Alligator mississippiensis: one gene and its partners. The protein of the gene in region 3 interacts with the protein of the main gene of each other region in a biochemical or structural test. Links are inferred from orthologs where the notes say so. Each region holds a gene or a part of one and is shown on either strand. Other genes may lie near its edges. The genes, in order: DTL, CDC25C, CHEK1 and ATR.

Region 1 (6,942 bases), on a different chromosome or scaffold from region 3:
CTCTCACACCTAGTTCAGATCTTATTCTGTATGACATTCACCTTTAAAGATCTGCTTGGTTTGAGATTCTGTATCGTATAGCCTGACAAAACCTTCTTCATTTGCAACTGCAAGTATGTGCTGCAAATCTGGAGCTGAAAGAGAAAAGAGTAGGATTCATTTCTGTGCATTAAAATAGCTTTCTCCTGGTCTTCTCCCCAAAAGAGAGAGCTACACAAACAGCAAGTGCATAAATCTGGAAATAATTAGCACTTACTTATGCTGTAAATACCTAAATTACTATGCATTTATATAGTGTTTAATGTGCAGGGTTAGTGATAGAATATTAATGGTTCTGAAAGGGGAAAATAGACAGCTAATGTGATTTGCCTGCTGTGTCTCTGCCACTAATCTAAAATTCCTCGCTGCTATAAACTGCTGAATAAGCAGAGGACAAAGATGACCAAGCAGAATGTCTCATCTCTAAATCTTACAGTATAAATTAGGGCTGTTAGTTAATTGCAGTTAGCTTACATGATTGATGCAAAAACAAATTAACATGTTAATTTTTTTTTAATTCTGTTAGTCGCACACCATTGTTGTGACCAGTGGAGTGGACCAGTTGGAACCCATGTGCACAACCTTGACCTCAGCCTGCCCCACACTCACCTGCCCATGCTAAGCAGTGGCAACAGCAGCTGGGCAGAAGCTGCTACTTGGCATGGGGGAAAAGCAGGCCTTCCCCTTCACCACTGCCCAGCCATTCTTGCTGCAGTGGCCCAGAGTCTGGGCCTAGGCTGCCCTGTGTCTCCTCTTCGCTGCTGTCACCACCACCTCCAGGCCATCCAGTGGGGCAGTGGTGGCAATACAGAGGAGCCACAGGGCAGCCTGGGAGTGGGCTCCAGGTTGTTGCAAGGAAAATCGAATCTGGTCATGTCAAGTTGACCAAACTCCCAGGAGTCTTTTCGAGATGACTCAAAATTGGCAATGATTGTGGCCTAAAGGTAACCCCAGTAAAATGCCAGGGAACATGGAACATTTAAAACAACGGATCAATAGTACCATAAAATAAACTGATAACGTGGTAATTTTGGGGAGTAATTAATTTGGGGATGGGAAAACAACAGGAAAATAATATTGTCAAGGTGCCAAGGCGTGCTATTGTATTTTTAGGATCCATGAGCCAAAATATTATATAACAAGCTTGGCTAGATAATGATTATGTCACTAAAGGGTTAAGCAGCCTAAGCAAGTGAAGTCAGTGTCCCTGTATGCTATCTGAACCATTTGCATGAGTTTCTGAGGGAGACATCTGCATGGATCTCTAAAGGAGGACCAAGCCTTTAGACTTGGAACAACAGCGCAACCCAGGAAGCTTTCCCAGAATGACCGCCTGAGGGAAGTAACTCCTGCATAACAGGTCTAGACAGACTGTGAAGTGGTGAAGAGTCACGTTAATGCATTCAGTCTTTGGTAACTAACTGCTTATATTCTGCCAATCCCAGTAAAATTGACTACTTTTGACTATTCTGGCAACCCCAGTTGATGAATTGTTTTGTGCTTAGTAGATGTTTTGTAGCCAATAAAGCTTCTGACTGTTTGTGGGATGAGTGCCTGTGGTTAATTACAGAGTTATCCCCGCCCACAGAGAAGTAGGGCTTAGATGAGCTTCCACCCAACAGGTATGGCTACAGCAAACAGCTCTGCAGAACTCCTTAAGTACCCAGCTGTTTTCAGCAGCTTTTATTTCAAAGGGTGGTGCTTCTCTGATCAGCTACGTGGAACTGCTCATGAGCAGTAGCTGATCTGTGCCCTTTAAAGTAAGTCAAGCAATCAGCTAAATGGCTGGCCCCTAATACAGTGACCCACACTGAATTAAACAGGTTTCAAACCAGCCCTTCAGGAAAAAAAAATCCAGGTTCTACTGCACTAAACAACAGCTTTTTCAGAGGGAAACTGCCATCCTACCACCTTGCATAGGTTTGTTCCATCATATTGTTAATCAGTTTACCTTGAAAACAAAAAACTAGGCTTTTGCACAGATCACGCGAAACAGCGCAGGGCATTTTGGCCTCAGAGCTTGTTCCTCTTAAGTTACCAGTTTTATTGTCCCAGGTGTAAAATGAGGCTTAATTTTTTTTTTAAAACAAAAGCAATAAAGCATGAAGAATAAACATCTGCTCCCCCGCACGCATGCAGCTTTGTCCCTCCACAGCACTCTCAAAAAGATCCCTTACCTGTAGGAAAGGTGCAGCCAAAGGGAGGGACTGGCATCCCCAGCTCTCCATAAGAGAGGTGGTCATCTTGTTGACTGCACTGATAGCAGTCTATGAGGTGCTGGAGGGAGTATTGCCAAGACGGGCCTACAAGGTCAGAGAAAGAATCCAGTTACCAGCCACTCGGAAATACAACCCACCGGCTCTCCCGGGGCCACAGCCTCATAAACAGCGGCTCAGCAGAGGGTCACAGGTCCCCACGGGGAACAGCGCCCCGCGGGTGCGGCCCCGAGCAGAGGGTGGCTCCGACCACCATCCCCTTCCTCCGGAGAGAAGCGGGCAAAGCTCCGGCTCCCGGCACAGGGCACTGGCTAAGGGGAGCCATCCGAGCCGCGGCAGCTGTGCCTGGGCCCGGGGTCCATGACTCACGCTGCGGGCCGCCGCGGGCACGGCGGAGAAGCGAGCGGCACAGCATGTCCTAGTTGCAGCCAAACGATAGCGGCACGGCGAAAACTCCCGCCAACGCGCTACCCGCCAAACCCCGCTCAAGCTCCTCATTGGACAACGCCCCATGGGGAAAGCTCGGCGGCTCCGCCCCTTAGTTCCCATTGGGCGGTTCGGCATAGCGGGCTAGCAAAGTCCCTGGTCCTTTCGGACGAGAAAGCACAAGTCTGTCGCTGCGCTTGCGCACTGAGTACTACCTCCTATCCGGCGGGAGTATGACTCCGCCCACGCATGGCCCGACCGCTGCTGGCTGAGAGGGGGCATACCCATATCCCGCCCGCTACACCCAACCACCCTGGTGGTGGAGTAAGTGCGCATGCGCCTCACTGAGAGTGGTAACTGCGCATGCGTGGCCGGAAGTCGTGTCCTAACTGTGGCAGCCCTCCGGAGAGCCATGGCTGCCGGCGCTGCCAAGTCGTTCCTGGCCGATGCGGGCTACGGCGAGCAGGAGCTGGACGCCAACTCGGCCCTCATGGAGCTGGACAAGGGTGCGGCGCCTACCCCGGGCGCCCAACCGCCGCCTCGGCGGGGGAGGGGCGGTGCTGTGGGGGCGGATCCGAGTCCGCGCTTGTGGCGTGGAGGGCGGGGCGGTTGCGTCGTACCCCCATTGGCTGCGCGCCTCAGCGGCCCGGGGCCCCGACTGGGCTGCGCGCCTGGGGGAGGACAGCCGCCCTAGGGTCGCCCCTAGCCTTTGTGCGGGTGTGCTGTGTTAGGTGTCCCCTTTCCATGCTCTAGTTGTTACCGTATGACTTCGCTCCCGTTCCTGTTTTCTTGGTGTCACCAGTGACCTCCCCTAAGGGGCGCTTAGTTTCCGTGATGGGTTGAAGCCCATGACGTCAGGGCATATCAAATAGGCCTGTTGCTTTTCACTTTCTTCCCTTACTTTATTAGTCTGCAGCCAGGCCCTGGCTCTCCCAGGCTGGGGCTTTTTTGTTCTCATTAGCACTGAGTTGTAGACAACTGTAGATGCTTCAGGAGAGACTAACCATGGCTCATTCTCCGCAGGGCTCCGGTCTGGCAAACTCGGGGAGCAGTGCGAAGCCGTGGTCCGTTTCCCCCGGCTCTTTCAGAAGTATCCCTTCCCCATTCTCATTAACTCAGCCTTCTTGAAGCTGGCTGATGTTTTCAGAGTTGGGTGAGTGGCATGATTCCCTCGTTGCTTCAAGCCCCCGATCCCCAAGTTCTCCCTTGTTTTCTCCTCATTGTATTTGGAGCCAGGGCAGTTGTCGCGCTGTGATTTTCAGACTGTGATCCCTGGAGCATTGCTCGCCACTGGTTCTGCAAAGAGGCTGGGGGTAACAGTGGAGCAAGATGGCGGGGTGGGGAGTGAGAGGCATGGGCAGTGTGTTGCCATTGCTGGGCAGATGATGTCCTGGCTCTGTATCATAGTGTTAGTCTTTGGGATAGGGGTGGGGGTCCCATGGCAGAAGAAGTGATGTGAAAAGTTTCCATGACTTCAGTAGGTTTGAAAACCACTGGCATTGCATTTGTGTTACTGCACAAATGCAATGCTAGCAGTTACTGCATTTGTGTTACTGCACTCTTCTGCTGAAAGAGGATCTGTCTCTGGAGCCTGCCAACCTCGTCCTTCGTGGGCAGGAGTGGCAGTGAAGGATTGAAAGCCATTTGTCATTCCATCCCTTTGCCATCTCATCTACTGAGGATTTGCCTCAGTTACCAGTGACTGATAAGCAGTCGTTGTGGAGCTGCTTTGGTGCAAACTGGTAGTTCTGAGCCTCAGGCCACAAGCTAGATAGCACTGCCCCAATGTTGGATGTGGACTGGCCCCACACCGTTCATCTTGCCCACGGGGCAGAGAGGTTGAGCACCACTGGTATAAGCCTTTAGGATCAAAAAGTTGAAATAAGAGACTGTTCTCCATTTGTGTTGTAAATAATTTAAGCCTCATCTGTTGCCCTTCCAAGTGCAAAATACTCACTGAAGACAGAATTAGAGGTGTTTGGTTGTAGTACATAGATACAGTATATTGTTCTGGTTATCATAATGCTTGCTGTATGCATATGCTGTATTTACCTGACTCCAAGACAGCCTTGAATTTAAGACGACTCACCCAATAATTCCATTATATACATGGAAAATGATAAATGTGTTAATTTTCCCCATATAAAATCTGATTATTTTTCATAGATTTCATAGACATTAGGGCTGGAAGGGACCTCGGAAGATCATCGAGTCCAGCCCCCCACCCAAAGGGCAGGAAGTCAGCTGGGGTCATAGGATCCCAGCAAGATAAGTATCCAGTTTCATCTTGAAGGTGTTCAATGAAGGCACCTGAACGACCTCCGGTGGCAGGCTGTTCCAGACCTTAGGGGCTCGGACAGTAAAGAAATTCTTCCTTATGTCCAGCCTGAAACGATCTTGTAGTAATTTGTAACCATTCGACCTCATCATCCCTTGGGGCGCTTTGGTGAACAAACGTTCCCCCAGATACTGGTGGTCACCCCTGATAAACTTGTAGGTGGCCATCAGATCACCCCTGAGCCTGCGCTTTTCCAGGCTAAAGAGCCCCAGGGCTCTCAGCCTGTCATCGTAGGGTCTGCTTCCCTGACCTCTGATCATGCGCGTGGCTCTTCTCTGGACTCTCTCAAGCTTCTCCACATCCTTTTTGAATTGTGGAGCCCAAAACTGGACGCAGTACTCCAGCTGTGGCCTCACTAAGGCCGAGTACAGGGGGAGAATGACGTCCCGGGATTTGCTTGAGAAGCATCTATGGATGCAAGCCAGCGTTTTGGTCGCTTTACTAGCCACAGCATCGCATTGCAGGCTCATGTTCATCTTGTGGTCAATGATGACCCCCAAGTCTCTTTCTTGCATAGTGCTAGCCAACATAGCACTGCCGAGCCTATAAGGATGCTGCGGGTTTTTTTTCCCCAAGGTGGAGAACCTTGCATTTATCGGCGTTGAACACCATCAGATTCTCATCCTCCCACTTGCTGAGCCTGTCCAGGTCAGCCTGGATCACCCGCCTGTCTTCTGGTGTGGATGCTTTGCCCCAAAGTTTGGTGTCATCAGCGAACTTGGCCAGTCCGCTTCTGACTCCAGTGTCCACATCGTTAATGAAGATGTTGAACAGTATGGGTCCAAGGACAGAGCCCTGGGGGACCCCACTGGTCACAGGACACCACGATGAGTGACTTCCATCAATTACTACCCTCTGGGTCCGACCCCAGAGCCAATTTTCCAGCCAGTGGATCGTGGAGGACCCAACGCGACAATTGGCCAGCTTCTCCAAGAGACGATCATGGGACATCAGATCGAAGGCTTTTTTGAAGTCAAGATATATGACATCAATCTCATCTCCCTTGTCCAGGTGATAGGTCACCTGGTCGTAGAAGGAAATTAGATTGGTCAAGCAAGACCTACCCGCAACAAACCCGTGCTGGCTATCCCTTAAGATGTTGGCGTCGGCCAGTCCATTAAGGATGGCCTGTTTAATAAACTTTTCTAAGATCTTCCCCGGGATAGAAATCAGGCTGATGGGCCTATAGTTAGCCGGATCCACTTTCCTCCCTTTCTTGAAGATAGGCACCACATTGGCCTTCTTCCAGTCTTCGGGCACTACACCAGAGCGCCAAGAGTTTTCAAAGATCCGCGCTAGAGGCTGGGCTATGATGCTCGCCAGCTCCTTGAGTACCCTGGGGTGAAGATTGTCAGGGCCGGCTGACTTGAAGGTATCCAGCTTCTCAAGATGTTCCTTCACGAAGTCAGCATTAATGGAGGGCAGGGGATCACCCTCACCCGGACTTCCCGGCCCAGTAGCGGGCATGGGCGTCCCATGGGACTGATGAAAGACCGACGCAAAGTACCTATTTAATAGGTTGGCTTTTTCCTGGGCGTCAGTTGTCAGTTGCCCCATCTGGTTCAGCAGGGGTCCAACGTTGCCCCTGCTTTTCGTCCGGCTCCCCACATATCGGAAAAAAGGACTTTTTATTGTCCTTGATGCTCAAAGCTAGCTGGAGTTCAGTTGCAGCCTTGGCTTTCCTGGTCTGCTCCCTACAGGACCGGACCAGTGCAGAATAATCCTCCTTGGAGGTGACTCCCATCCTCCATCCTTTGTAGGCCTTTCTTTTTAGCCTCAGGAGGTCTGCTAGGTCCCTGGAGAGCCAGGGGGGCTGCTGTGCCCTCTTGCTGCCTTTCCTGCGAGATGGAATAGACTTAGTTTGTGCATTGAGGATCGCTCCCTTGAGGAGCAACCACTCTTCTTGAACTCCCCTCTCCCTGT
Region 2 (7,844 bases), on a different chromosome or scaffold from region 3:
TCATCTCAGACTCCAGGCTTCTTACATCCTAGCAGGGAAGAGGAGAAGAGTTTGGGGCTGCAGTGGTACCCAGCTCCCATACCTTCTCTGTCGTGTTTTCCAGCACCAACCACCAATCCAGAGAAACTCCGGAGAGTAGAGGCAGACTCCCTACAGTGCCTGCGTAGCCTCACTGCAGGGAGTATTTTCTAGAGCTTGCCTGGAGCAGAGTGCATGATCTGCCCCAGGGTCAGAAGAGGAATGCTTGTTCCCACTCCAGTTCCTGATTCTGTACTGGAGTCAGGGCTTCATTTGAGGAACAGACGGTACTCATGGTCAGAGAGGGACGATCTGATCTAGCCCAGCTTCTTCTCCTTCCCCTCTCGTAGGAGGAACCCTCACCCAGCCCGAGCTCTGTCGCTGTACTGCTACCCACTCCGTGGGAGGGAGTCACTGGATTCTGAGGAGCTGAGCTGTTAACTCACCAGCGGAGCAGTAAGGCAAGTCAGAGGATCCATCACTTCCTTATGGAACAGCAAGGGCTTGGACACATGCCATCCTGGATGCTTAAACCAGCCCCCCTCCTGAAACGAGAAGGGTCAGGAGCTCTCAGCTCTCTGGCTCTAGGAGGTGCTGAGAACTACCTTCAAGCCCCCACCCCTCAGGTCAAGAGCCCAAGGCAAGTTCAGCTCCAACCCTGGCATTAAGCAGCCACTGGGCACTGGCTGTGAGGAGGGTCACCAGCATGGTGGGTGGGTGAGAGCAGGAAGGGAATCTAGAGTTCCTGGAAGACTGCAACCCTCCCAAAAGCAGCACTTGCAAAACACTGTCGTGTCGTAGGGAACTCCAGTACTGAGACTGCTCCAGCCTGCCCTTCGCTGGTCCAGCAGGGACTCACCTTTGCCATGCTCATCAGGGGACTGGCCATCTCACTGCTCTCACAGTACATGGCGCCTGGTGTGCTGCACCGTACCTGGGGCTGGAACGGACAGGAGGGAACGCTCACTGGAGACAACTGTAAGCATAAACTCAGAGCTGCAGCCAGCATCCCAGCGCACCGACTCGCCACATCTCCCAGACAGCAAATCGCCTTTCTTTGAAGACGAAAAGGTACTCACCGGGAGAGACCTCAGACACTGCCTCTGCGACTCTCTGCAGGAAGAAAGATAGCCAGTCAGTGTCCTGGCCCCTCTTCCTGGCCAGCTTGCACTGCCCTGGGACAGGGCTCCCATCCCTACCTGCATCCTCCCTCGCATCCACAGAGCCCTTCCCAGCCCCGTGACAGCGCTCAGCGACAATTCAGGACACCTGTGACACCCCGCCCCCGCCAGCAGGATCATGCCATTTTGCAGGGAGGACAGTTTTGGAGGCCACGCCACGTGTCAGCGGCAGTGCTGCGACTTGAACGCGGGATCCTTTCTGTCATCTTACACCCTTTCCCCGTTTGTGCTGAACGGGACACAGCCAGCTGGCTGGAGACTGGCAGGACAGCTCAGAAACTACTCACTCGTTTCTCTGGTTTCCAGATTCTGGTGTCAACCCGAGTAAGAAATAACACCAAATCCAACACAGCTGGCACCCGCGCATCAGCCTCTGTGCAAACATCACCTGTCCAGGTCCAGCAGGTGCTAGACCTGGAAGAGGCAGGTACTGCAGACACCCAACCGCTGCGGGACGAGCAGCCGCTCTAGGCTCTTTAGGAACTCGTGCATTGTCCGCGCTCAGCAGGAGCTGTCCAGATGGGGACAACACCCGAACGGCACGGACACGCTGACAAGCGAGTCAACAGCCGTTTCTGACAGCATCCCAGCCACACGTGCCGAACGGGCTGGACCGTCCCCTGAATGGGCAGGCGGGCACAGCAGCGAACCAACAATACTACCATCTCTGTTCCTCGGCTAACCGCTTAGATGGGCAGGGGTTGTGTTGAAATGAGATTCAAGTAGGAGGACAAGGACTCGGCAGCTGAAAAGCCACAGGCCAACGCTAAAATCAGCGCAGCTGGAAGGTTTGTAAGACAGGACAGCCGAGGCAGAGACAGATCCACTTCAGCGCGCTCTGCGCAAAGGGAGAGCCCTGGGCCAATCGACCCACTGCGAACACGCAAAGAATAGCTGTGCTTCAAACTGCCGCGCAGTGCCGCCACCGCCCAGACTCCCAGCGTCGTGAAACAGGCTGGGCGCGACACGGTCCGAGCCAGCAGAGCCCTAGCCGCTGCCCGGCCAGAGGCAAGGACGGCTCGCGGGACGGGACAGGACGTCCGCCCGGCCCGACCCAGCACTCCTGACCCGGGCACAAGACACGCCCGCCACCGCTCGCAGCGGACGAGGAGCCTCGGGAGGGACAGGCCCCGCTCGCAGCACGGCGCAGGCTGCCGCGCAGAGACCGCCGGCCCCGCAGCAGCGAGCAGCCAGGACACTTACGGCCCCTGCCCGCGTCCCGGCGCGTCCGTCCGGCCTGCAACTGAAGAGACACAAGTAGGCGACACCCGCAGCGAGCGGCCGCGCCGGGCACGAGCCACAGCGAGGCGAAGGCGGCCGGCACCAGGGCGGGCCCGGGCAGCTGGGAACGCCCGGCAGCCCCGGCCCCCGCCGCGGCCCAGCGCGCATCCTCGCGGTCCGCCGCGCCGCCACGAGCGCCGGGCGGCGGGGCAGGGGCCGGGGGGCGGCGGCGCCTACCAGGCTCGGGCCCGCCCGGGGACGGCGCGAAGCGGAAGACGGTCATCTCCTCGCCGGCGCTGAGGTCGGACAGGTCCAGGCAGCAGCGCGGCGTGGCCCTGCGGGGAGAACGCGCGAGCGGCTCAGGGCCGGGCCGGGCCGGGCCCCACGGGAGGCGGCGGCCCGCGCGGAGGCCGGCGAAGCGGCGCTCACCCGGGCGAGGCGCGGAGGCCCCGGGCGAGGTCCGGCGAGAAGGGCAGCGAGAGGTCGGCGTCCCGCAGCAGCCCCAGCACCATGCGGCAGCCGGCGCGCAGCCCCAGGCGCGACCCGCCCCGCCCCGGCGAGCGCCGCCCCGACATGGCCCGCGGAGAGACCCCGCGCCGCCCACTTGAATGTAAATAGAACCCGCCCCCCGGCCCTGCCGCCCCGCCCCCCGGCCAATCAGCGCGCTGCTCTCCGCCCCTCACCAATCAGCGCGCTGCTGGGGGCGGGGGAAAACAAACCCCAGAGCCGCTCTCCGATTGGCTCGCTGCGCTGCCCGCTATTGGAGCCCGGGCGGGCAGGGCTATTGCCATTGGGGGCTTCCGCCGGCGGGCGGGGCTTCGGGCGGCCAATGGCCGCACGCGGGCGCACGTGGAGCTTGTCGACGCCGCACGTGGGCGTGGCGCAGGCGCCAAGAGGCGGCGCGGGCCGGGCCTGGCCGGGTCGGGCGGTGTCGTACATGCTGCCCGTCGCCTCCTCCCGGCCCGCGGCGGGGCGCAGGTACGGCCGCCCCGCCCCGCTCCCCGCGGCTCTGCCGGTGCCCAGCCCGGGGTCTCGGTCCCGGTCCCGGCCGCGGCTGTGGCACAGGCTCCCGCCCGCCGCGTCCGGGAAGGCAGCGGGGCTCGGCGCAGGGAGACCCGGGCGCTGCCCGCCTGGCGGGGGTCTCCGCGCCGACCCTTGCGGCCCCCGGGGGGCGCGGCATGCCCGCCCGCGGAAAGGCGGCGCCGGGGCGGGCGGGGGAGCGGCGGCGGGCTCGGGTGCCGGCAGGCGGCTGTGGGGGGCGCCGGTCCCCCGCAGAGACTGGGGCGGGGCGGGAGCGGCGGGCTGGGTGAGGCAGTTGCGCGGTGTGACGGGTGCGGCTGCGCGTCCGTGCGCCCCGCACAGCCCGGAGCGCCCCGTGCGCGGAGCAGCGGCTCGCCGCGCCCGTAGCTGCGAAGCGTCCGCTCCGATGCCCGCAGGAAGGGAAGGGAGGGAGCGGTTCCTCCGCAGGTCGCCCGGGCTGTGACGCCAGCTCCGGGTGTGCGCCGAGCCCTGTCCGCACCCAGCAGCGGTGCCGTTGCGCGGCGCCCTTGAAAGGACCTGGTGCGCGTGGAGGGATCCCGCGCGCCCCTGGCAGACCTCCGTGCTTCGGGCCTGAGCTCCCGCGGAGCCGGGGCTCCGTCCCCCGGGGGCCCCGTGGCGCAGCTCCGGTTCCGCGTCCCGGACCCAGCGGTTGACTTGGGGGAACGCGGCGCGGCGCCTCCGTCGGTGACACAAGCCCCCTGGACGCTGCGGGGTGCCGCTGAGCAAGCTCTTCTCCCCCGGAGCAGGCCCGTGTCCTCCGAGCCCGTTTCTTTCCGAGTTCGCATGGTCAGCGTCGGGGTCGGCACGTGGCCCAGCCCAGCGCAAGGAGCCGGCTCGGGATGCAGGTGTGGTGGTCTCTGCCAGGGACGTGGCTTGTCCAGGCTCGGGTCTCGGGTCTCCGGTGCTGACTGGGTTCCTGTTCCCCAGATCTGACATCGAGACGGATGAGAGCACCCTGCAGCGTAGGCAGAAGCAAATTGATTATGGGAAGAACACCCTGGGCTACCAGCGCTTTCTGCAGCAGGTTCCCAAGTGAGGGCTCTTTGTCTTTCACCTCCTCTCCCCGTGCGGGCCTGCTGGCTCTGGCCACAGGCCCTCGGCACAGGGGAGACGTCAGAGCTTGCTCCAGAGCAGGGGCTCCCAAGCTGCACCCCTGGGGTGTGCAAGACATGTGAGGGGTACCTGAGAGAAACTGGGTAATGGCAACTTGAATTTCCATTATAATAATAATAATAGGCGTGAAAGGGGCAGCTGGCAGATCTGGGAGGGGGCACGCAATAAGACAGTCTGGGAGCCCTGGCTCTGGAGCGCCTCTTCCTCCTCGCTGACCCTGCCGACGGGCAAGTTGCTCTTCCTGCCCCAGGGGACGGCGGGGCCGTTCTTGTCCTGTTCCCGCTAGGATAAGGGGTCTTGTCCCGAGGTGGGAGGATCTGGCCCTTCCTCATGACGAATGCGATGCTGTATTTGTAGGTCCACTCGGCAGGCAGAGGTCCACCCTCAGACCCCAAACAAGTACAAGAAGTACAGCCGCCGCTCCTGGGACATGCAGATCCGGCTGTGGAGACGGGCCTTGCACGCGTGGGACCCGCCCAGCCAGCATCCTCTCCAGTGCCACCAAGGACTTGAGAGGGAAGTGTCTGCCAGGTGTTTGGCTCCTCCAGAGCCTTCCAGGGGGAGTGCTCGTGCGGCAGGGTGACGGGGCAGCTTGTGCCCACGCTGGGCTGGATGGTGGTCTCCTTAGTGCCGCCTCAAAACGCTCGCTGAGTGCGGCTGCCCTTACACCTGCCCGTGCAGATGGCTCGAGACGGTCAGTGAATGGGGCGTTAACGTGCCCAGGCCTCCAGTTGTCAGGGGCCCACTGAGACTTGGCGCCTTATGATACTGGGCAGCGGGTGCTTTGCACCTCTGGAAGGAGAGGGGCTATGCAAAGAAATCGTGTCGTGCACAGTGTTGGGGACGCGTTCGCACGTCTTGACGTGCACCATGTGCCGTGGAAACTGGTTCCCTGCGTTGTGTGGAGTTACCCGGGCATCTCCGGTGCTGCTGGGGAGGGGGGCAGAGCTGGGGAACGGGCCTTCGGTTGCTGGGTCTGATTAGAGAGCAAAGACTGGGTGCAGTGTCCCACGTGGCTGTGCATCGGTGTGTTCTGGGGAGCAATCCTGCCCACCGTGGCTGGGGCTCAAGGGAGAGAGACTGCTGTGCCTCCCCGCAGCTCTGAGCCCTGGTGTGCCCCAGCACTTGCTGCTGCTGCCTCTCTCTTTGGGGTCAGTGACTGGAACTGCTGTTTCCTTGCAAGACAGGGCCTGGCAGCTCTCTGCAGCGCTGGAGATGGAGACAGACCCTTTGTGTTGCCTCTCTGATCACTGGCTGGGAGCCTTGGCTTGGCCTCCCCAGAGCCTGTCCAGAGCAGCACTAGGAGAGGTAGGCGGGGGATGCTGGTGGGGTGCGGGGGTCCACGGGGCAGGAGGCTTTCTGCGGAGGGATGGTGGGGCTGAGCAGGGGGCGCTGGGGGCGGGGAAGAGTGGTGGAAGGGATCAGCGGGCCTCGCTCGGGGCCTGGCCTTGTGCCTCTCTCTTGGATTGCTTTCCTGTTCCCGTCGGGCTCACGCTGGTTCCCCCTCGCTCAGCTGGCGGCTCTGGGCCCCTCGTCTCCTTGCCTGCCCCCCGAGGAGGATCCCGGCAGGCTGCACGTCCGGGGAGACGCTGCTTGTGGCTGGGGCCGCGTGTCCGGGGCGTGCGGCGCACCCCGTCTTCCGCAGCCGGCTCGGTGGGGGCCGCCGGAGCCGGAGCCTGCGCCCTGACGCAGCTGCTGCCCGGGCTCCTGGCCCCGGGGAGCGGCGGGAGCGCGCTCCTGGCCCGGGGGGGCGGGCCCTTGCCTTGCCCCCGGGCCGAGGGGACGCGGGCCGCCGGCCGGGGTGAGCGCCGGGCCGCCCGCTCGGGCGCAGGGAGGCGGCGGGGCCCTGCCGCGGGCGGGCGGGCGGGCGGGCGGGGGCCGGGCCGGGGTGAGGGCGGCGGTGCTGCGGGCCCCGGGGCCGGGGCGGGCGCGGCGATGGCGATGGCGGCGGCGCGGACTACACTTCCCAGGGTGCCCGGGCCGCGCGGGCGCTGCGGGCTCGGCCGGGCCCGGGTGCGGGGAGCCCGAGCCGGCGGCGCCCGCGCGCCCGAGCCGGGCGCTGGACGAGGTGGGAGCGGGCCCGGGTGCCGGGCGCCGGGGCCCCGCTTGCCCGGGGCTGGTGGCCGGAGGCTCGGCGGGGCGCTGTCGGGCGGCGCGGGGCAGGGACCCCGGCGTGGTGTCGCAGGGGCGGCGGCGGGGATGGCGCGCGCGGAGCCCCGGCCGGGCGGGCCCAGGAGCGGCGCGGCGGGCGCTGCCCCGGCCCGGCCCTGCTGAGCGGCGCGGCGCGGCGCGGCGCGGCGGGCCTGGCTCGCGGGAGCCATGGTGCCGCTGGTGGCGGAGCAGCTGCAGACGCGGGCGCTGGAGGAGCCGACACGCGCGTCCTTCGGCATCCGCCCGGTAAGAGGTTTCCCGAGCGCGCCGAGCAGGCTCAGGCCCCGCGGGACATGGGGCCGACATCGTGCTGGCGCTCCGGGGCGGGCGGCGGGAGCCGGCAGGGCCGTGCGGGGTGGCGGGTCGCGCCCGGAGCTGCGGGGGAAGCTTGCCGCAAACCAGGCGGGTCCGGCCGGCGCCGGGCGCTGCGGGGTCCCTGGGCGTCCCGCGGCGCGAGCTCGGGCCGGGGCCGGGGCCGGGGCCGGGCCGGGGCTGTTGTCTGCGCTGTGGCGGTGGCTGCTGGGCGATGGGCGATGGCCGTGCCTGGTGGGGCTCAGAGGCGTCTCCTTGGAGGAGCGCTTTGTGACCCCCCTGGGATAGGGACGGAGTTTCTTCGGGGAGGGGGAGCCCCTGCATCCTCCCTACGGGGGTGGCCTTTTTGTAACGATCCGGATCTGGTTTTTCTCCCAAACAAATTAAGCACGCTGAGATGCTCTTGCACCCTGGCAAGGGTCTCTTACAGGTCGGGCAGCCTCTGCTCCCTCGCTGCTCCCAGTCACCCCTTCGGTTGTTGCCTTTGGGGTGTAACTGCAGTCGCCACCTTTGCTGCTGTTCGCATTTTCTTAAGCAGCAGCATGAACCCAGCCCAGCTGGGATCGCAGTTGGCCATAGGTCTGCTGCCCCGTCCCTGTGGCCGGAGCAGGACAGACGGGGGCGTGGGAGCCGCGGGCTCCAGAGAGAGGAGCAACAGCAGCACGTGCTGGAGTCAACAAGTTGCTCTGTGTAATGTCACTCTGCTGGGGCAGCTAACTTGCAATCGGAGCGGTTGAGCGGCCATCAGTTCCAGGACTGCTCCTGTCCTTGCCCTTGCCCTTGCCCTTGCCTTGCTTCAGGCTCCCG
Region 3 (7,711 bases):
TTTTGCCAGATAAGCAAAGAGGGACCTTGATATAAATAAAGATCAGATATATTCATTTTTTTGGTTATAGACCACAGGAAATTTGAACAAATGACCTGAAGCCTGAAACAAAACACTTGATCCAGACACAGCTGTGTTATAAGGAAAAAATACTAACAGTTTACGCAGAGATTTCTTGTTTTAGAAGGAACAGCCAGGAAAGACGGCTGTTTTTAAAAGTCCGTTCCCCCACCCCAATGTCATCTTCGATTATTAAAATTAAAATTGTGGAAAGCTATTTTTTCTTTCCACTGTAACCTGATCACACAATGTTCTGGCAAAGCAGAGGAAGGATCCACATCATTAGTCTATTCCAGTTTCTCAGATCCTAGATCCATACTGTAATATTTTGGTTCTAGGACCCTACAAGAAATATTTTTGTTTTAAAAAGTTTTAATAAAAGCTTTACCCAAAGGTCCTAGAAGCATTTCTATCACTCCTCAAATTCTGTAGAAACAGCTTTTCAAGAAGGTATCATTTTTCCATAGGAATGTTCTTTGAAAAGGTGCCGGCATCTCTGCAGAGACCAGCCTCTGCTCCAGAACACCTAGACAGGTTTACCAAATTTGCATGTGGGCAGGGGAATGAATGCAAGTCCTGGAAGCATGAATCAACTTTTGCTCAACTAGATTGCTCTTAAGCCTGCAGCATCCTCAGAAAGCTTGAAGTGTTTTCAGTTTCACCAACAGACACAGACTTTCTTCTTCCCTTGTACACCTAACCACCAAAATTTAAAGGGAAAACAAAATAACTAGCTCTAGACGTACCTCTGTCATCTAGCAATAGATTCTCAGGCTTAATATCTCTGTGGGTTATACCTATACCATGGAGATACACCTTAAAAAGAAAGAGAGAGAGAATCTTGAATCTTATGATTTATATGATCCCAAATGAAAGTTTTAAATAAATGTAGAAGGCAAATACTTACCACCCCAGCAATAAGCTGATGGAAAAACTTCTGTGCATCTGATTCAGGCATTCCTACATCAGGCTCTGAAAAAAGTCATTCAGAATCCACTTAACAAAAAAAAAAAAGATCCACACACTTCTAGCATCACAAACAAACATGATAGGGAAAAGAGTATCTTGCCAATGTTTCTGTCCTCTAATATATTTGTTTGTTCCTTTCCATATCGTCTCTTTCCCCCCTCAGAAGCTTTCAACCCCCAAATTCATCTCCCTCCTCCTCCTTCCACAAAGGGCACAGAAGCTTTAACACTAAACTAATTGGCAGAGTTATCAAGAGACCTATACAAGAGCTGGATGACCTCTTGTCCAAGGGCAGACAAGCAATAAGGCAGCTCCCATTAACCTTAGAAGCAAGCCTCCATATCGCCATCCTTTTGGCTAATGCAAGATATTGCCCCCAACATCTACAAGCAGGGGTGAGCATCTGTGGCTCACAGAGCCATCTGAGACAGCCCAGGACGATGAAGCTTCAGCAGGATTCAGCAGCAGGTGGCTTCAGCTGCCCCTACACCCACCTCTGACCCGAACTGGGTCACTCCAGCCTGCAGCCTAAAGGTTGCTGATGACCACTGCCTAAACAAGTCGCCAGGTTCTGCTTACGCAAAACTATCCTGTGCAAAAACTATCGACATTTCTGGTACCTAACTGTTGCTCAGATCTTTCCAACAGTAGAATGAAACCAATTTCCTTCTGGCTCTACTGCTGCTCATTAGAACGCAAATAGTAATAATTAAGACTGACACATCGGTTCGGTGGAAAGCCAAGAGCTGCAGCAAAGGCACTAGAAGTCTAACATACGAGCATATTTTCTTGACGTCTGTATCTCACTTCACCCTGTTTATTTTCAGAAGACTGACTTTTGCAACCATAAGGACTAGGTTTTTTTCCTTTGAAATGAAATATCAGAATATATAGAAACTGGAAACACTGGCCTTATTAATCCCAGCTGAGTGAATTTCTCAAGTCGGCATAGTTTACTTGTTTAAATTATCTCTCCCCGTGAAAAACCATGACGCTGAACTTCTAGTGGGATTAAGCAATAATTGACAGATGTGAACTTAACCGTGTACAGAAATTCTTGCCAATTTCGATGGAGACTTCCTTGAGGCGCACAAACTCATGCTAAGCAGGATCTACATGTTGCCAGGAGGACACACCAGCTAAACACCCCGCGCGTGGCAAGCTGGGGGGCGCGGGAAGGCAGATCGGCGCGTGCGGGCGGCGCGGGAAGCCGCTCGATGTGCTCTACCTATTCTGTCGAAGAGCTCCCCCCCTCGACAGTACTCGAGGAAGAGGTACTGGACGTGGCCTTCTCGCCGGTGCCCGTAGAACTTCACGATGTTTTCATGATTGAGCATCTTATTAATACAAATTTCTTTCTTGATGTTTTCTGGACAGTCGGCAGCACGTTTCATATCAACTATTTTGACGGCAACGGCTTCCTCCGTGCGCCTGTTGACGGCCAGCTGAACCCTGCAGGGAAACGAGAAACATCCCTCATGAGCCTCAACTCGAGCAGGCCCCCCTCCCCGCCCGGCAGGAACCACAACCCCCCCCCACACACACACACACACACACACACACACACACGGTCCCCGCGCAGCGCCCGGCCGGAACCCACACCCACACCCACACACACACACACGGCCGCGGGGTCGGACCGGCTACACCCCACCTCAGCCCAAGGGGTCTGTCTCCGCCACCGTCAGCGGCGCAGAGCCACCGCCGGCCGCCCGCGCTCCCCGCCCCGCCCCGCCTCATGTCTTCCTTCCTGACAGCGCCCGCTTCCCGCTGGACACCGGCCTCTGCCCGCGCGCCCCCGCGCTCACTCTCCGTAGGCGCCCTCGCCCAGCGTCTGCACCAGGTCCCAGTCCTCCACGAAGGGCACGGCCATGGCGGCCGGCGGCGCCCGGACCCGGACCGGACCGGACCAGACCAACCCGCCCGGCACGGCACGGCACGGTACGGCGAGAGGAGCGCAGCACAGCCCCGCCCCCACCCCGAGCGCCCGCTCCGCGATTCCCGCCCAATGGCGGCGCCCGCCGCCGCATCCTTCCGTCCGCCCCGCCCCCCGGCCGGCCAGGGCCACGCCCCTTCCATCGCCCCGCCCCGCCCCCGGCCGGGTCCCGCCCCCTTCCATCTCCCCGGGCTGGCGGGAAGCGAAGCCGGTTCCTTATTTCGGGCGTCGCCAAACCTGCAGGATTACCCCGGGGTCTGCAGGAGCTAGAAACCCGTGCCCGGCAGAGCGCTGAAAGCCACCCGGAGACCTAGGGATGGGCCTCCATTAAAATGAATATTACATGTGAAATCCTGTTTCTACCGTCGGCCACTGCATAGGCAACGCGTGGGGGGGGCACGTGCCCCCTGAGGTTGGCAGCTCACGGGCCCCTGGACACTGACACACCGTAGGCAGTCCCCACTCACCGCCCCCGACACCGCTGCCACCTCCCAGCCTCCGAAGGCGCGCGCTCTTCGCGGTCCGGTGGCTTTTTAAAACGTAATAGTAAGGTGCGTTTGCCTTCCTGAGGTGAAGTCCACGTGCCGTCATCCGTAACCGATGTACAGCAGCATGCGGGGCGGCGCATGTCGCGGGCATGGCGGCGGCCCAGAAACCTCTCGGAATAGGTTCAAGCAGAGTTGGCAGCCCTACTTGTTCCCAGGTCCCATTTCAAAGCGAATCCTTACACTGTTCAAGGTTGTTAGTCATGAATGATGCTGACTGAAGAATCAGGACTTCATCAATGGATAGTTGCTAATAAAACTGTAAAATAATATCATGCATCAAGTACATAGCCCTGAAATTAGGCTGTGGCAAATCCCTTTCGGGCCACCACAAAACACGCCTATGGCACCAGGGGACAGCTCTGAGCAGGGCGCTGCCCGGCCCGAAGCTGGGTTTCTGCAGGCCAAGCTGCCCACTCACAGGCCTCAATTAGGAACTGGGTTTGGGCTAGGATAATGGGTGGAAATCCTTCTTGGATCACCCCCAACACACGTCCCCACCCTAGGAGGTCTCTCCCAAGGAGCCTGGGCAGAGTCCTACCCACCCCGAAGCTTGGTTTCTGTGTGCCAGGCTGCCTAGACAGGCCCCCAGGCCTGAATAAGGAGCTAGGTTTGGGCTGGGATTACTGATGGAAAACCTCTCTGAGTCACCCCAGACAAATGTCTCTGCCTTCAAGGGGACTCTCCTGAAGAAGCCTGGGTAGAGCCTGCCCGACCCAAGGCTCAGTTTGCAAGTGCTAACCTGACAACTGAGGCCCCAAGCCCATGTCCTCTGTACCTAGCCCTGAATATGAAACTGAATTTGGGCTGGGGATATCAGGTAAAATCCTCTCCCCGTCACCCAAGAACACACGTCTGTCACCAGCGGACTCCCCTGAAGAAGCCTGGGCAGAGCACTACCTGACCCACAGCTCAGTTTTTGCGCACCAGCTTGCCAACCGACAGCCTCCCAGATTTGTGTGCTATGTATGTTCCTGTGAATAAGAAGCTGACTTTGGGCTGGGATTATAGGGCAAAATCTTTTTTGGAGCACCCCAAAACACTCCTCTTCACCACCCAGAGACTCTCTAGAAGAAGCTTGAGCTAGTCCATGCTCGACCCAATGTTTGGTTTGAGTGCCAGCCTCCCACCTGCCACCCACCTGCCAGTACCTGCATGCTAGGTACATTGCTTTATACAAATATCTTATTTTGGGCTGGAGTTATGGGGCAAAACCCACTTTAGATCACCCCAAAACCCACATCACCACCACCAAGGGACTCTCTTAAAGAAGCCTAGGCAGGTCATTGCTTGAACTTGAAGCTTGGTTTTTGAGTACCAGCCTGCCAATTGATACCCACCCTGTAAGGCCTGCACATTGCTGTTTCGCCAGGTGCTAGACAGCAGTAAGAATGGCTGCATACAAATATAGGGGTTTTATACCAACTTTTCAAATTTACCTCAAGCCCCAACCCAGAAATTTGGTAAAGTAAATGTGTACTGGGTGTTCTACCATGAACAAAACCTGCCCATTTGCAAGCAAATGTTAAATTAAAACAGATTTATTACAAGGGAAAAAGGGAACAAGGGGACACCCTAAGCAAAATGTTAACTATTAACCTTTAACTGTACCTCAAAATTGATCACAATCTTAGCAGTAAACCAACCTGGGGAACTACTACCTGGCCCAGTGACGTGGGAAGGGATCTCACCCAGGGCTGCCATCCAGGAGCTATACCACGTGTACCGGTTTAGTAGTAAATTCTGGGTAGGGAGACCCACCCTGGAGGCCCTGTTTCTCAAGTAGCCCTTCAGACAGTTATACCCTCTGCTTACTAATGAGGGTAGGCAGACGAAGTGAAATGACAGTTTTCACTATGGAACATTACTTTAGTCAAACATACAGAACTTAATCAGGGATACACATGCATAGAAATATGAATTTTTAATACATATCACTATGAGCATGGAACCTATTTGAAAGAATGGGGACATAATGGCATTATTTGACAACTTGGTTTGGGTTTAAACCACATTAAGAATTACAGTATGGTTTTTCATCCATTTTTCTTATTAAACATGCAACAGTCTTCTCAGGCAGAAATATAGGCCCATATAAGGATTTTTGGATAAGCACCTGCCATCTCTTTTCACTGTGAACGTGTGAAGTTATTCATTTGGAACTATTAGCCAATCTCACAAGACAATAGAATTATGCCAAGACATTAGGTTGCTGAAAGTAATATGTGGTTGAAAGATTCATAGATTCATAGATGTTAGGGTCGGAAGGGACCTCAATAGATCATCGAGTCCGACCCCCTGCATAAGCTAAGATAAAGTGAAGCTGAAGTGATCTCTCCAAGGTGCACAAGCCTGGGCGGTGTATATGGAGACACTGAGCTGTCCACACACTAGCGTCCCCCTCTCCTCCCAGCCTTGCTGGTTTACGCTAAAGGAGAGGCAGGCGGCAGTATGTTTGGAACCAGCTGGGCCGCAGGAGCTGCTGGAACAGAGATCGTCCATTTGTTCAATCGAGGCTCCAGTCCTAGACTGACTGTCAACCAGTCTTAAAGAACCCTGTCTACCCAGTCATGGAGTGGACTTCAGTTCCCTAAGTTTTTGATGACCAGATCAGGAGGATGAAATAAATGAGGCTTTCTTTGGACAACTAGCAGAAGTTTCCAGATCATAGGCCCTGGTTCTCATGGGGAACTAGGAGGGCAATATGGCAGGGCATCAGTAATCCAGGAAGTTTTTGGAGACAACTTCTTGGTACGAGTGTTGGAGAGACCAACCAAGAGCCATGATCTTTTTGACCAGCTGCTCACAAACAGGGAAGAATTGGTGGGGGATGCAGAAGTGGATGGCAACTTGGGCAGCGGTGACCACAAGATAATCAAGTTCAGGATCCTGACAAAAGGAAGGAGAGGAGGGCTCGGAAGAACAGCAGAGTATGGACCCTGGACTTCAAAGCAGACTTTGACTCCCTCAGGGAACTGATGGGCAGGATCCTATGGGGGGGGGGGGGGGGGGGGGGGCAGTCTGAGGGGGGAAAGGAGTCCAGGAGAGCTGGTTGTATTGTAATGAAAACCTCACCGAGAGCACAGGAACAAACCACCCCGAACTGCAGGAAGAATAGCAAATATGGCAGGCGACCAGCTTGGCTTAGCAGGCAACTCTTCAGTGAGCCTAAACACAAAAAGGAAGCTTACAAGAAGTGGAAGCTTGGACAGATGACTAGGAAGGAGTACAAGTGTTGCTTGGGCTTGTAGGGATAAAATCAGGAAGGCCAAAGCACAGTTGGAGTTGCAGCTAACAAGGGACAGGAAGGGTAACAAAAAGGGTTTCTACAAGCACGTTAGCAACAAGAGGGAGGTCATGGAACATGTGGGTCGCTTACTGAATAGGGGAGGTAACCTAGTGACATATGATATAAGGCTGAAGTGCTCAATCCCTTTTTTCCTCAAGTCTTCACAGGTAAGGTCAGCTCCCAGACTACTGCATCAGGCAGCACAGTTTGGGGTGCAGGTGAGCAGCCCCCAGTGGTGAAAGAATGGGTTAGGACCTATTTAGAAAAAACAGATGCGTACAAGCTCATGGGGCTGAATGCAATACATCTGAGAGTGCTGAGGGAGTTGGCTGATATGTTTACAGAGCTGCTGGCCATTATCTTTGAAAATTTGTGACGATCGGGGGAGGTCCCAAACGATTGGCAGATAGAGTGCCCATCTTTAAGAAGGGGAAGAAGCAGGATCCAGGGAACTACAGACCAGTCAGCCTTACTTCAGTCCCCAGAAAAATCATGGAGAAAGGCCTCAAGGAATCCATTTTTAAGCACTTAGAGGAGAAAAAAGTAATCAGAAACAATCAACATGGATTCACCAAGGGCAAGTCAAGTCTGACCAACCTGAATGCCTTCTATGAGATGAGTGGCTCTGTGGATGCAGGGAAAGCAGTGGACATGATATACCTTGACTTTAGCAAGGATTTTGATACAGTCTCCCACAGCATTCTTGAAAAACAAGTCAAGGAAGCATGGGTTGGATGAAAAGTGTCAAGTGGGTAGAAAGCTAGCTGGACCATTAGGCTCAACAGGTAGCAATCAATGGCTCGATGTATAGTTGGCATCAAGTGGAGTACTCCAGGGGTCAGTCCTGGGGTCAGTTTTGATCAATATCTTCATTAATGATCTGGAAGTTGGGATGGATTGCAACATCAGCAA
Region 4 (7,947 bases), on a different chromosome or scaffold from region 3:
ATAGGCCAATTAGCCTAACTTCTATCCCAAGGAAAATCCTAGAAAAATTCTTCAAGGAGTCTATGTGCAATGGCTTTGTTGTGAGCAGGTCTTGTCTTAACAATCTCATCTCTTTCTACAACCAGGTAACTCGCCACCTAAGTAAAAGAGAGGAGGTTGACACTGTTTACCTAGACTTCCAAAAGGCCTTTGATCTACTTTCCCACAATGGTCTCACAGGGAAATTGGAGGATTATGGGCTTAACTGTTTGACAGTTAGGTGGGTAGGAAGCTGGCTGCGGGGTAAGACCTATAGAGTTCTAATGAATGGATCTGTGTCGCCTCAGTGAGAAGTGGTCAGTGGTGTCCCTCAGGGGTCCGTGCTTGGTCCAGTGTTTTTCAACATCTTTATCAATGATTTGGATGTCGGGGTGACGAGCTCACTGACCAAGTTCGCAGACGACACCAAGTTATTGGGTAGCATGGTCACACTTCAAAATAGGCTGCAGATACAGGCAGACCTAGACAGGCTGGCAAATTGGGCGGATCGGAACCAGATGAAATTAAACTTCGAGAAGTGTAAAGTGCTCCATCTGGGGATGAATAATCCCCAACATACTACTTACAAGCTCGGTGGTGCTCAACTGACTAGCACCCAGAGCTGTCCCTAGGGGTGTGTGGGGCCTGGGGCATATCAGCCTGTGTGGGGGTGCGGTGGAGTGGCTGGACCGCGGAGCAGGCAGCGCGCAGAGGCCGCAGAAGGGCCTGTACAGCAGCCACCCCACTTGCCCACCCCTAGGGACAGCCCTGCTAGCACCACGACTGAAACTATAACTATTATTACCTAGGGGTAATAATAGAACATAGTATAAACATGAGCCATCAGTGTGCTGCTGTAGCCAGCAGGGAAAACAATACTCTGCCATGCATCAACTAGAAATCTTCAAGAGACTGGATAATCACCTCGTTGGGGTCACCTGACCCCAGCTGTCTTTCCTGCCTAATGCAGGGGGGCTGGACCCAATGATCTTGTGAGGTCCCTTCCAGCTCCTAACAATCTATGAATCTATGCCTGCCTGCCCACTCCCTGTATCTCCACTGCTCCCTCCACTGCCTGCCCCATTACTGCACCCCTACCACCTGCCCTACACGTTCCCCTTCACTGTCTGCCCCATTACTGTCGCCTCATTGCCTGTCCCCTTGTCACCTGCAGGGGTGGGGGCGTGAATTTAAGATGATTCCCCAATAATTAGATTCTATACAGGGAAAACTATAATAAATGTATACATTTTCCACAGAGAATTATTGGGGGGTCTCTTAAATTCAAGGTCATTTTGGATTCAGGTAAATATATAACTTGTTGCAGCTCTTGGAGAGGCAGCAGTCACTTGATCCACCACCAAATTTCTAGCTCACAGGCAGCCCCATGGGCCAGATGACAGCTCCCTGCTCTGTATCCAGCATATGGGGTTGGAAATTTGGTATCAAGACAAGCCACAGCAATTAATCTTGCCACTGCTCACTCTTACTAACTTTCTAATTACATGGGACACATGACATGGTTCCACTGATGGCATGTAGCCTGCAGTGGCTCCACTGATGGCATGTAGCCTGCAGGCTGGATCTTTTGACACCTCTGATTTAGCAAGGGCTACAATAAGTTACAACAGCATTCTAAAATTAAAAACTAAAGATGCCAAAATAAGAACTCAATCCTGCAAAATGTTCAAATAAGGAATGGCAGGATTTATTTCTTCAGCGAACAGAGCACATTTATGATGCAGCCTCCTTGCTTTTTAATACATCATTATATGTGTATGTACATATATTCGCACATGCACACATGCAGTGCTGTAGCAAAGGGCTGGAGGCAAATGGGGTGACTGCCCTGGGTGCCAAACCGAAGGGGCGCCAACAGGATGGAGTTGCGAACAGCTCATTTGGGGAGGCGTGGGGACGGGAAAGGGTGGCTCCCCCACCACCGCATGCACTCCCAGACAAACACTGATGAGGGGAACGTGTGTCCCACCCTGCCCCCTGCAAGCTGTGCGAAGGATAAGGGCGAGCTGTTGCTGTGGGTTTGCCCCAGGAGCCAAACTTCCTTGCCACAGCACTGCATACACATGCACAGATGTGCATGTAGATCAGGGGTGGGCAAAATGCAGCCCGCCGGGTCATTTTATCAGGACCACGGGGTCCCTAAAACATTTAGAAAATAAATATTTATCTGCCCCTGGCTGCTTGTCATGTGGCCCTCAATGGCTTGCCAAAACTCAGTAAGCCCTCAGCCCGAAATAATTGCCCACCCTTGATGAAGATCTATGGACACGCACAAGCATATGCACAAGCACAGGCATGTGCAAAAGCATACACAAGTATGCACACATGCAGGCACACACAAGCACTTACACTAGCATTTATTTAGACAGTTGTAGTTCACTCAACTCTACTGGTGTTCCTAGAAACCCTGTCATTATACAAATAAACTGCTTCAGGTCTGCTAAGCCTTTGCTGGGAGAAGACCCACAGGTTTGTTCCCAACCAAGGGAGCTTCGCCCCACTCTCGGCAGCGGGGGGTGCGCCCTGAAGCCCCGTTTCCCTTACCCAGGTCCACATCCGTGAGGATCCTGTCAACGAACTGGCCGAGGATCTGCCTGGGCTTCTGCACCACGCTGGGGTAGTCCTCGGGCCCGGCGCTGCGGGGGAAGAAGGGGCGCGTCAGCACCACCCGGTGCCCGAGCCGGCTTTCAGGCTGGGAAACATCGGTGCCTCCCTGAGCCCGGCCACAGCGCCGCTTCCCCGGCCTGTCCCGCCGCGGACACGGCGCTGCGCTGCTCCGCGCGGGTACCGCTGTGGCCCGGCCGCTCGGGGCGCTCATGGCACAGAGCAGTGGACCCAGGTGCCCGCCCGGCCGCACCTACCTGCCCAGGTCGCGCAGCGCCGGGATCATAGAGGCCATGCCTAGCCCCGGCTCCGCCATCGCGCCCAGCGCGCCACTGCTCGCGGGGGCGGGGGCGGGGCCAGCGCTCGGGACGGCGGCCGGCGCGGACCAACACGCCTCGGTTGGCGCGCTGCACGAGCACAAGCGACTTCCCGTGGGGCAGCGGAGCATCACGAAAGCCACGCGCCAGCTCCGCGCGCGCGCGACGCCGGGGCCGGGGAGTCCGGGCTATGGGCGGGTTGCAGGGCGCCCCGTGGGGGTTTAGGCAGCTCAAGAGGTCCCGGCTGAGCGGGAGCAGGTCCCGGTCACCCCGGGGGCTCTGGGCGGCGCAGCCGGCCCCACGCGCGGCACCGGCCAGAAGTAACTAGGAGGGGCTGGGGCCGGGGCAGCTCCGCACGTGGCAGGGGGGCAGGCTCTCAGCAACTTAAGGCCCGGGGGCTCTAGGTGTCTCAGCAGGTGCCGACAGGCGGCTCCACGCCCAGCCCCGCGAGGGGCGCTGAGCTCCCCACTAGTCCCCGGGAACGCAGGAGCCCTGGTGCCTCCGCATGCGAGGGGCGGGGCGGGGCAGGGGCAGGGCGGTGGGAGCCCCAGGGAGATGAAGGCGGTGCTCGCTGTCCCCATCGCCGCCGGCAGCAGCGGGACCCGGCAGCCCCCGAGCGGCCCGCCCACCCCAGCGCGATTGGCGCTGGCAGCTGCCTGTCCGGGGGATGCGGCGGCGCCCACAGCAGGTGTCTGCTGGATCCCGGCAACTCTTGGTGCAGCCGCCGCCGCCGAAGAGGCTCCGCGGACGGGGCCGGGGCCGGGGCCGGGGCCGGAGCAGCTGCGGGCAGAGGTAGGGACGGGCAGAGGCTGGGCAGCGGGGAGCGGGCTGCGCTTGTCGCCCCTTCACTTGCCTGATGAGATGCGTCCGCGGGGGTTCCCGTGGCGGGGGCAGGATCTTGTGGCACGGATCAACTTCTCCAGTCTCTTCTCTGTGCCCAGGCGGGCGCTGCTCTTCCCGGGAGGCTCTTTTAATGTAGTATGTGCGAAAACTAGAGGCCGCTTTTAAAAAGTGCAGTTCATTCTTCGGAAGACAAGCTGTACTAGGTAAGGCGGGAGAGGGGATAAAGTGCTGGAAAAGCAGTGGCCCAACAGTCCTGTCAGACATCTCCCCCCGACAACCTCCTCCCTCATGCCAGGGGGAAAATTAAAGACACTTTTTATGAAAGGCAGTAGGACATGACTGAGACTGTGAAGCTCTTGCACCTCTTGCCTTTCCGTATGTAAACAGTTTTTCCAGACTTCAGGAAATACACAGAAAACTATTTATTTGTATGTGTCTACTGATGTCTACATATTCTCCTGGATGTTACTGTCTAAAGGGAAGTGACCTGACTTGGGCTTTCTTTATTGAGGAGGGCAGTTGATTGTGTTTGTTTTATGAAGTCTTGCCTGCATTGTTGACAGTGTTGCAGAGAAGCACACACTGAAATAAAATCCTCTCTGTGGCTTCTGTTTCTGGTGCCTGTTTCCACAGCTATGATGCTTTGAATTTTGCATGTAAAACAGATGAGGAAATTGAGCGAGCATGCCTGTGTTCCAGTTATTGAATTGTTAGTGATGGTTACCAGTTCTTTTTTTTTTTTTTATTCAAAAGTGGTTGCACTCAGTTACATGCATGCCTATATTCGTACATCTGAATTTAACTCTCTGTTTGTCGAGTATTTTCAAAGCCCTAGTGATACCATGATAAGGAACTGTGACATTTCAAAAGATTTTGAAACACTTAATTAGGATTAATCTTCATTTGTTTCTCTTTCCTTTTTGCTACTTATTGAACATATTAGATGTTAACTCTTGAGAGCCGCTCCCAGTCAGCAAACAGGAGACGCAGGCTTCATGGTGTCTGCGTTACATAGATTTATAGTCATAGATGTTTGGGTCGGAAGGGACCTTAGCAGATCATTGAGTCCGACCCCTGCCCTGGGCAGAAAAGAGTGCTGGAGTCAGACAACCACAGCCAGGTGTATGTCTAGCCTCCTCTTAAAGACACCTAAGGTAAGGGAGAGCACTACCTCCCTTGAAAGCCATTCCAGTTTTTGCCAACCCTTACCGTAAAGAAGTTCTTCCTGATGTCTAACCTAAATCTGCTCTCCGTCAATTTGTGGCCGTTGTTCCTAGTTAGCTCAAGGGGTGCCCTGGTAACCAGAGCATCTCCTATTCCCTGCTGTCCCCCCCCCCCCCGATGAATTTGTAGGTGGCCACAAGATCACCTCTCAGCCTTCTGTTGTTGAGGTTGAAGACCCAGGGCCCCCAGTTTCTCCTCGTAGGGCTTTGCCTGCAGGCCCCTAACCATGTGAGTGGCCCTCCTCTGACCCCTCTCCAGGTTATCCACATCCCTTTTGAAGTGTGGCACCCAAAACTGGACAGAATACTCCAACTGCAGCCTGACCAATGGCACTTTATGGCATGGGAAGACCAGAAGTCAGAATGAACACGTCTGGAATTACAGTGGCAGATCCTTCATGCACATAGTGCTGCAGAATTTAAACTTTATTTAATTAAAAGTCCAACAGCTTTCTAGCCTTTATATTTGTAAAGAATACAAACTGTCTTGGTAAGTCTGCAGAAAGCAGAAGTAATCACTTATGAATTGTACTGTTGTGCTATACCTGTGACAGACAGACAGTTTTATTTGTCAGTATTGTTAACATTGTAATAGTTGATGGTAACTTTAGGAGAAACTTTAAGCTATCTGGAGATTCCAGGAGTTTGGCCCAGTACTGGGGTTTTTTATTGCTATTCTAATTGTAAACCAAAATGGGAGAATGGCACAAATGTTTTGGGTCATATGATTCTCTTCTCCAAGTACACTATACATGGAATACAATTCAGACACCTAGTCTGTATGGCATAATGCAGTGCTGTACAGGAACCCAAGCTAGCTCTTAAACTTCTAATGATCAAAAGCCTCATTACCACCTTTTTCAAGCCCTATTGGTAAATATGTTTGTGCTTACTTTGCCCGTCTGTTAAAAAATCTCTAAAGGCTACTAATGGCATGAGATCTTGCTTAAGCTGGTACTCAAATTCCAGTGTGGTACCTGAAGTAGAGAAAAATTCTAGAGGTTCCCCATGTCTTTTTACAGGCCCCCAAAAGCCAGACCCATTCCTGCTTCAGTATCCAGTAGAGGGAGCTGTTCAGGGAAAGAAGTATACGTTCTGACTTCCAACAAAAAAAAAACCTTTAAGAATAACCAAGAGCAAACAGACAATGAGCAGGATAATAATTTATTTTGGTCGAGGATAATTTCTTCCATTTTCCTTTGCCACGTTGCTTCCTGCTCCCCTGTTTCCCTTTTCCCAGGTCCTTCTCCTTGTCTTTCCATATAATTTCTCCTTTTCCTACTTTGTCCTATTTTTCACCTTGTTTTGTTTCTTCTTCATTCCATTGTCTCACACTTTTGTGCCCCATGTTCTTTCTTTCTGTCTGAAGAACTATGACCCAAATGGATGCACAAAAGGAGGAAGTGCATTGTGGCTGAACACACAGTTCAAATTTTTCTTCTCCTAGTGAAAATATATCCATTCATATCTGTGTAGTGAGTGTTATCCTTATTGTTTTGTACCTCCCATATGTCCACAACCCTCATCCAGTGTCAGTGTGGATTTGTGCAGGTAGCAAAAACTGTGTGAGATTGGAGAATCAGTGTATGCACAAACGTAAAGCTTCCTGCCAGAATCAACAAGTTGTATACACTAAGAACTGTTCTCTTCCCCCTCATTTCTCATTTGCATAAGGGCCAAAGAGCTGATCCCTTGATCCTCTGTCTTCTATCCCATGCTGTCCTATTGCCCTTCCTGCCGTATGCTTAACAGTATCTTAGAGTGAACTGGGTGACATTTTAATTAAGTTAATTTTGACTTGGAGCAAAAGAGCGACAGCTGGGGTCTACTCTAGTCTAGTCATTTGGTTGTGAGCTGGTTATGAGAGAAACTTGGAGTGTTGATCCACACCAGAATCATTTTCTCGGTTTTGTTAATATGGGTTCAGTGCTGACAAAGGTGGTCCTGAAAAGTGGGCATTCTGGAGCTATATGAAGAGGACCAACCACACCAAGACAGTTGCTGTACTATCACTGCTGCCTTTACCAGAAAATTTTCACTTCTCTTTAAAGTCAGAGTAACTTGGATGTCATTGTTCAAAATGTCAGTCAGGATGGTGGAATGAATAGTCATGCACTGCAATAAGTTAATTTTTATTGATACTAAGGCTGTCCTTATAACTTATTGGTTGTTTGCTCTGGTGCTTTAACTGTACCTGATAGCCTGTATGATAACTGAGGATTTAATTCCATATATGGTCATGAAGGTGCTAACCTAGTTGGCAGAATGGTTGATAGACCTTTGAACACATTGGCTTGGATATTATTCTGTACATCATAAAAATATCTGTTCAAGGAAAACTCAGCTCTTTTTCAGTGCCACCTGGTCTGAGTAGAACAAAGTAACACAGATTTAAATGGCAGAAGGGTTTGATCATTAAAATAAATCCAACTCTTGTAGAATCATTTTGATAATTTAAAACACAATATAATAAATTAAGAATTATTTTGAAGAAATAATTTAAAAAATGTAACTTGAGTAAGCATCTCGACTGGCAAACAGAATGCAGGTTGGTACAAATTCAACTACAGGACAAAATAGAATAGGTAACAGTAAGGAAAATATAAAATATTGAGATCTAGTGAAAGGTGTTTCCTATCCCCTTTACCCTTTACATTCATATGCTGTCTGTATAGGCCTTCATTATGCAAATAGGGACAATCTGTTCTTTAGCATGTTTGTAACTTTGCATGATGAATGCATTAGATTAAATTATTTGGGATTGGATTCTCTCTTACCTATATGGAAAATGCCTAGCACCTGTTTTGGTTTCTATATCATAATTTGAATAACTTAACATTAAAAAAGATGTATAAAGGGTATTTGAATTATAGTAGAAAACATCATGTTTGCAGAAGAATAACAGGCATGCCTAAATCCTG

Evidence for each region.
Region 1: of the proteins of CHEK1 (region 3) and DTL, one has a biochemical effect on the other in vitro, tested with the Homo sapiens proteins (2 studies listed by BioGRID). The link is inferred for Alligator mississippiensis from reciprocal best matches to the Homo sapiens genes CHEK1 and DTL.
Region 2: of the proteins of CHEK1 (region 3) and CDC25C, one has a biochemical effect on the other in vitro, tested with the Homo sapiens proteins (16 studies listed by BioGRID and IntAct, with this or other methods). The link is inferred for Alligator mississippiensis from reciprocal best matches to the Homo sapiens genes CHEK1 and CDC25C.
Region 4: of the proteins of CHEK1 (region 3) and ATR, one has a biochemical effect on the other in vitro, tested with the Homo sapiens proteins (7 studies listed by BioGRID, with this or other methods). The link is inferred for Alligator mississippiensis from reciprocal best matches to the Homo sapiens genes CHEK1 and ATR.

What each region holds. Positions count from the first base shown.
Region 1 is NC_081824.1:190,023,329-190,030,270, forward strand, and holds the start of DTL (denticleless protein homolog), read right to left. Parts: upstream 3,009-6,942; 5' UTR 2,970-3,008; coding exon 2,897-2,969; intron 2,839-2,896; exon of another isoform or gene 2,671-2,838; coding exon of another isoform or gene 2,625-2,670; intron 2,343-2,624; coding exon 2,217-2,342; intron 135-2,216; coding exon 42-134; intron 1-41. Other genes in the region: INTS7 (integrator complex subunit 7), read left to right, coding at 3,016-3,187, 3,705-3,834. UniProt on the Homo sapiens protein: Substrate-specific adapter of a DCX (DDB1-CUL4-X-box) E3 ubiquitin-protein ligase complex required for cell cycle control, DNA damage response and translesion DNA synthesis.
Region 2 is NC_081832.1:79,615,496-79,623,339, forward strand, and holds the start of CDC25C (M-phase inducer phosphatase 3), read right to left. Parts: upstream 3,011-7,844; 5' UTR 2,996-3,010; coding exon 2,850-2,995; intron 2,756-2,849; coding exon 2,658-2,755; intron 2,443-2,657; coding exon 2,403-2,442; intron 2,383-2,402; exon of another isoform or gene 1,585-2,382; coding exon of another isoform or gene 1,487-1,584; intron 1,132-1,486; coding exon 1,098-1,131; intron 995-1,097; coding exon 878-994; intron 564-877; coding exon 465-563; intron 29-464; coding exon 1-28. UniProt on the Homo sapiens protein: Functions as a dosage-dependent inducer in mitotic control. Tyrosine protein phosphatase required for progression of the cell cycle. When phosphorylated, highly effective in activating G2 cells into prophase.
Region 3 is NC_081839.1:21,788,216-21,795,926, forward strand, and holds the start of CHEK1 (serine/threonine-protein kinase Chk1), read right to left. Parts: upstream 3,004-7,711; 5' UTR 2,903-3,003; coding exon 2,838-2,902; intron 2,482-2,837; coding exon 2,258-2,481; intron 2,222-2,257; exon of another isoform or gene 2,130-2,221; coding exon of another isoform or gene 2,072-2,129; intron 1,033-2,071; coding exon 968-1,032; intron 877-967; coding exon 807-876; intron 1-806. UniProt on the Homo sapiens protein: Serine/threonine-protein kinase which is required for checkpoint-mediated cell cycle arrest and activation of DNA repair in response to the presence of DNA damage or unreplicated DNA.
Region 4 is NC_081830.1:56,496,761-56,504,707, forward strand, and holds the start of ATR (serine/threonine-protein kinase ATR), read right to left. Parts: upstream 3,008-7,947; 5' UTR 2,960-3,007; coding exon 2,901-2,959; intron 2,676-2,900; coding exon 2,584-2,675; intron 1-2,583. UniProt on the Homo sapiens protein: Serine/threonine protein kinase which activates checkpoint signaling upon genotoxic stresses such as ionizing radiation (IR), ultraviolet light (UV), or DNA replication stalling, thereby acting as a DNA damage sensor.